Linked DNA regions of Cricetulus griseus. The protein of the gene in region 2 interacts with the protein of the main gene of each other region in a pairwise test. Links are inferred from orthologs where the notes say so. Each region holds a gene or a part of one and is shown on either strand. Other genes may lie near its edges.

What was found.
Region 1: the proteins of Prmt3 (region 2) and 40S ribosomal protein S2-like interact in binary tests that used the Homo sapiens proteins (3 or more experiments, as listed by UniProt). The link is inferred for Cricetulus griseus from reciprocal best matches to the Homo sapiens genes PRMT3 and RPS2.

What each region holds. Positions count from the first base shown.
Region 1 is NW_023276806.1:173,250,608-173,253,362, reverse strand, and holds 40S ribosomal protein S2-like, read right to left. Parts: upstream 1,450-2,755; 5' UTR 1,359-1,449; coding exon 693-1,358; 3' UTR 682-692; downstream 1-681. Other genes in the region: Gsap (gamma-secretase-activating protein), read left to right, coding at 1-169.
Region 2 is NC_048596.1:146,821,947-146,825,777, reverse strand, and holds part of Prmt3 (protein arginine N-methyltransferase 3), read right to left. Parts: intron 3,510-3,831; coding exon 3,350-3,509; intron 2,222-3,349; coding exon 2,080-2,221; intron 1-2,079. UniProt on the Homo sapiens protein: Protein-arginine N-methyltransferase that catalyzes both the monomethylation and asymmetric dimethylation of the guanidino nitrogens of arginine residues in target proteins, and therefore falls into the group of type I methyltransferases.

The DNA.
Region 1 (2,755 bases), on a different chromosome or scaffold from region 2:
GGGGTCCCTCATACTGGACTGCTCTTCTGGAAAGGTCTATAGAGCAACCCTTGACCAGTCGTACCTGCTGTGGTTCCTATGGAACGCCGCCCACCTGGACTGTGAGAAGATGGCTGCATTGCACTGTGCACTCTCGTGTGGTCAGGACCCAGGTTTCCAGGAAGACCAGGTGAGAAGATTGTGTGAGCCTGCACACTGACAGCAGACTGCACCAAACATTCTTGTTGCTTCAAGATGATCAGAAGTGATTTTTGCTCGGTAGCAGTGGTGGCTGTCTGCCAGACTGTGAAGGTCATGCATCTGGCTGTTGAGTACAGTTGTTCCCTTCATCTGTCATGTCACTTTCCATGACTTCAGTTATCTTACATCAACTCTGGCTTAATACTATTAAATGGAAAATCCCCCAAAGGAGCAATGCATATGTTTTACATGGTATGCTCTTTTAAGTAGTGTGTTGAAATCTTGTGCCATCCTGCTTCACCTGGCCTGGGGTTATGAACTGTTACTTTGTCCAACGTATTCATGTTACAGTTGCACTTTTCTGGTTTCCAATACTGTAAGCACAGATTCCTCCAAGGACACACAGGCAACAGTGAGTTTCTCAGCTACCTGCTTTTCTCTCCATGTCTGTGTTTTCTTGTTTTGTTTTGTTTTCAGACTTAATTCACTTTATTTTCCTTGTATAAAAACCCTTATGTGGTGGCCACAGCTGCAGCCTGGGTCCTCTGAACAGAGACTCTGGTGTGGGCTTTCACAAGATGGTCAGTGAATTCCTGATAAGGAGACTTGGTGAATACAGTCTCTTTCCAGAGGTCGGGGGTCAGGTAGCTGTAGGTCTTGGAGATGGCATCAAAGGTGGCCTTGGCAAAGTTGCCCAGGGTGGCAGTGCAGCCCCTGGCTGATGTGTAGCAGTCATCAATACCAGCCATCATCAGTAGCTTCTTGGGCACAGGAGCAGAGACTATGCCAGTGCCTCTGGGGGCAGGGATGAGACGCACCAACACAGAGCCACAGCGGCCTGTCACTTTACATGGAACAGTGTGGGGCTTGCCAATCTTGTTCCCCCAGTAGCCTCTCTGCACAGGGACAATGGAAAGTTTGGCCAGGATGATGGCCCCTCTGATGGCAGTGGCTACCTCCTTGGAGCACTTAACACCAAGATCAACATGACCGTTGTAGTCCCCAATAGCGACAAAAGCCTTGAACCTGGTCCGATGGCCAGCTTGAATCTGCTTCTGCACTGGCATGATCTTTAGAACCTCATCCTTTAGGGATGCACCCAGGAAGAAATCAATAATCTCGGATTCCTTAATGGGCAGGGAGAACAGGTAGATCTCCTCCAGGGACTTGATCTTCATGTCCTTAACCAGATGGCCCAGCTTGGTGACAGGGATCCACTCCTTGTCTTCGGCTTTACCTCCATGAGCCCCGAGGCTGCTGTCACGTCCTCAGTCATGTCCTCGACCACGACCATGACCGTGGCCCCTGAGACATTTCTGTGAGTTCAAGGCCAGCCTGGGCTACATATTAAGTTTGATGCTATCTTGAACTATAGAGCTAATTCCTGTCATAGCCTTCTCAGAACAAACAAACAAATGCCAAAGGCATAAGCACTTGTGACAAATGTTTATTAATTTTTAATAAGATAGCTTAGTTTGTATTGTACACTGCCGCTTATGAAGTGTTATCTATTTTGTCATTTACTTTATGAAGCTATCGTATAAGATCAGGAAAACCCTGTTGTCAATCAGTGATAGCTGGGGTTAGAGGCTGATTAGTTAGTTGAAAAAAAGCACACTTTTTAAAAAACACATAAAAATATACATTTATCTGCTTACCTTTAGTGTAGAACAGGCCTGTTCTCTGTGAACCAGTTGATTAAACTGCAGTCATTTTGTGCCACAAAACCAATCCCAGAATGTTGTCTCTGATTTCCTATTCCTTCCTAAGAGGTTTGTACTTGTGGATACATATTCATGTGTCTTTGTGTGTATACACACATGTGTGTGCATGCACACCTATGCACATGTGTGTGAAGGCCAGAAGTAACATTGTGTGTAACTCGATAAATAAAAGACCCAGAGACAGATATTGGAATTCAAACTTCAAGATGAAGATCAGAAAAGCAAAGCAGCTGGCCACTAGCTCTCACTCTACCTCAGAATGAAAGGGGATCCTGGCTCCACCAAACCTCAGACTGTAACCTCTCCTCAGTGTGGCTGGAGAATCCTGAGACTTCAGTGTCTTCCTATCCTCCATGTGGCTGGAGAATGAACGCCTGCTCTGAGACCCTGTTCCTGTCTTATATAACTCCCTAGCACTGGGATTAAAGGTGTGTGATCCCAGGTGCTGGGATCAAAGGTGTGAGCTCTGTTACTCTTCACTCTTGTATAGGCCAGGTAAGGCATGCAAAATAAGTCACCTGGCGAGACAGATTTAGAATCAAGCATCCTGTTGAGAGTGAACCATGGCTGGACATGTCTTACCTGTAAAGTAGGAGATGAGAACTCCAGCAGTTAGCACAAGGATAGAACTGTGAGAGAGTTGCAGACATGACAGAGGTCCCATGTGTCCCTTGTAAGGGAAGTAAAGAGGTGCTCCTCATGGGTAAGTTGTGTGACCATGTTCACAGTGATAACTGCACTGAACTTTAAGCCCAGGCTGCTGCCTCCAAACCCAGTAGTTTCATTGTACTTTGCTCCTGTGTCCCGCAGCTCTCTTGATGGGTTCTTTGTGTAACACCATCAATTCCTGC
Region 2 (3,831 bases):
ATAGCAAACACAGGCAGACTGGGGAGCAGCTCAGATCTGCATTACAGCCAACAACCCTTCTTCAAAGGCCCAGAGTAGCAAGAGCTATCTAAAGTTCATTTAACCCACACCCCCTCACCTGTGTCTTTAAAACTTAAACAATTACATTCATCCAAGCCCTAGAAATGAGATTGCAATTACGATAAAATGTCTGTGACCAAACAAGAAAACTCACCAATTAGTCTATAAAATACCTTATACTAAGTGCTTTCCAATCTGAAATTACTTGTCAGAATTGGGTAGGTTTTCCATAGTAGCAAGATACCACTGAACAGTTTCTTTGTGCTGAGACCTGATCTGGTTAAAAACTGAAATGCCTGCTCCAAGGCATAGCTACTTCTTATCGTAACCAATATCAAACCCATTAACATCAACAAGAGCAATCCTGTACCACAGAAAGGGAAACTGAGTCAGAGACAGTGCCTAAGTGATCCTCTAAAGATAAACAGCCTATCAGCTGGAGTCTTCGTGTACATCCAGGAGTTTCGCATTGGTCACATGTCACAGTCTCTAGTCACTGACACACAGGCACAAGAGTCCTAGGCAGAGCTTTGTTCTATGCAAAGCAGCCTTCTCTGATCAGTACAATTAGGAACACTTCCATCCACAGAACTTTCAGTGACCATGGCCTGTCTGGAAAAGGCTACACAAGTTCCACACCAAATATACAAAGGGCATGAAGCACTAAGTTAACAAGAGATCTAAAATAGCTAACTGGGCTTAGATGGCTATTTTATCATCTTTACAGAAAAAGTTATAACCCAAATATGAAGCATGCTGTTTCAGGATATTTGATCACACTGTGAAACTCTGAGACTGTGTTAATACAATTAACCTTGGATTGGGGACAGAGCCAGCAACTAGTTGATTAGCCATAAAGAATACAGAGGACCCAAGGAAACTGATAGAGAAGACACACAGGAAGGAGTAGGGAGAGACTTAAAGATTTACAGTCTTTTTTAGTCTGGGATATGTGGAGAAAGATGCACTTGCTGGCTCTCCAGGTTGCTCTTCCTGCACTCTGTGATTTATCAGGTTTTTACCCCAATATCTGACTTTATTTATAAACGAACAACTTAGATAAAAACAAGAGCATGCAAATTTCTTTTACACAATTAGTCTCATTTATATGATACTGTCTGTAATTATATACTGTCTGTGGTGCTATGCCATCATTACCCAGATGACAGCAAATGATATATGGTATTAATGGCATGACACTGCTTTAAAGGTCTTGGGCTTCCTTTAAATAGAATAATCTTTGGAATGAGGCTTTAGAAAGGATTTTTAATTGATTAATTTTAGGAAAAGAGAAGGTAACATCTGAAATTCCTAGAGATAAACACCTAAAAATTTTACAATCCAAAATTTGTTCTATTTTATGTTATCTTTAATATTTGATAAAAATGTACTGTCAGTAAGTAAAGTTAGAAACTACTTCTATCTTATATGGACATTACTACTATGACTATCAAAACTGAAGAGATTCAAATACCAGGTCTGACCACATCAGGAAACATTTCTTTATTATCAGTGATTCTGTGAGTTATAAGTCAGTCACCATGAATACTGTGAAAACTATTTTAAATTAAACTTTATAAGATGGTTACTTGCCCAGACCAAGTCAGCATTGCTATTTTTCCATGTTAAAAAACAACCATGCCATTTACTTCTTACTTAACACTGTAGATGTACCTGAGAAGACCAGAACCACAAGCAGTTGTTTTTCCCAATGTTCAATTTCAAGGAAAAAGTGGCTTCATAAAGAAAAGATGAATACTGACTTAAATAGGAAGGGAGTTGACACCTTTGTAATCTTTTCATCTGAGGAGCACTCATCTAAGCCCCAGGGGTATAACACACACACACACACACACACAAAGAGCATTAAGGCCTATTCTGTAGGTTCTCCTTGGCAGATTTGATGCACATGAACACACACACACACACACACACACACACACACACACACGAAGAGCATTAAGGCCTATTCTGTAGGTTCTCCCTTGGCAGATTTGATGCACATGAACTCTGTCCAACCTTTAGCATTTCTTCATGTATCCCATAATGCCCGTAGGAGCTGAAGTAGACACCATCTTCATCCTCTTGCAGGTCTGCAATGGCAGTTGTGGAGGAGCAGGTTCTGACATCTACGTTCATCACAAAGTCCTGAGCAAATTGTCTGTAATCAATTTGAAATACACCCTTGAGACAGGTTTATTGGACCATGAGAAAAGGCAAGGCTGGAGGATGAGAAAAGGGAGGAGGAGGGGGACAGTGTGCCCAGCATCTTAAATCCTTTTCTAGATGAAGCCCCGACGGCGCCCTCTGCTGGATCTGAAGCAGTATCTGGGTAACCCGTCAATGCACTGCTTTATTCAAATGTATTTTTCCTACTGTTCTGAGTGTTCTTAAAACGGGTTAAATGAGCAGAAAGCAGACCCAAGTTAGCTGACCCTACCAACTCCAGTTCTCACACTCAGGTGGTGACATATTAGTGATCTCCAATGTACACAAGAGTGAGGACAAAAGGGTAAAAAGTTTAGCTGGTGATAGGTGACTAAGTTCCCAAGCATAAAAGGACTAGGAACCTGGATGGACTCTGATCTCCCTAGCACAAGACATTCTGGCTAGCCATCAAATAGGAACTGAGGTACTAGCAACCAGCATACAGATCCAGAAGACAGAAGCTGGGAAGTGGACATACTATAGACACACATGTGCCCACCTCTAGACTAACAAGGTCCCCCAGGAGATGCAAGACTCCTGGAGAATGAGAACTCAGTGGGGTAAAAACTGCCCCCATCTATATGATTCTTTGGTCAAATTCCACACTACTGTCACATTTTAATTTTTTAAAAACAACATTTCAACACTGTATTTTCCCAACACCTAAAAAATAATAATTCTTCCATTTCTGAAAATCTAGGATAGGACAATTAAAGAGGAGAAACCAACTAGAAACAAGAAACTTGAAAGACAGGAAATATTAAAAACAAATATTCAAGAGGAAATTAGAAGAGCCACACATGCAAATTATGAAGTACTCACAGGTGCATAAAAATGCGATCTAGAGTACTCTATATTCACACACTATGAAATGCTGCGTGTCTTTAATACTCCTAAAGTAAATATATACATAAAAATGCAATTCTAGAGAAATATATATTCACACACTATGAAATGCTGCAATGCTGCATGTCTTTAGTACTCCTAAAGTAAATATATACACTGAGTGTCTAGCATCCCAAGTGTTCTTGCCATTAACTACACTACACCTAAAGCAGTGTCTGGTTGGACAGGTAGTTACTTCATTTTCTGCAGATCCTCACGTGCTCGAGCCAATGCAGCCTCAGCAGACAGCGCCCGCGCCTCCATGTGCTTCAGTTTCTCAACAACGGTTGTATTTTCACTGAGTCCATTGGGGTATGAGAAAGGAGTCGCCACTGGCTCATAAAGATCTTCTACATCTAAAAGGAGAGTGGACTTCATTATCAGGCCACCTCACAGCAGCACAGTGGGGACAAACAGGCTGGGAATAAAGGGCCTAAGTGCCTACAATGGTCAAGTAAGAAAAATTAAAAGCACATTTCACATACTTGACATCCAAGCTCCCTGATTTGATCTCAGGGAGTATGAGATCTGCTTTCCATTAGCTAGCTAAACTGAATATAGTCATGCACGGGTACACTGAACCAAACACTGGGAGAAGTTCCAGTGTTTACATCACACCTCACTCTCAAAAACAAACCTGAAATGCAAATAGTTATTCCTACTTCAGGGAAAATAAAT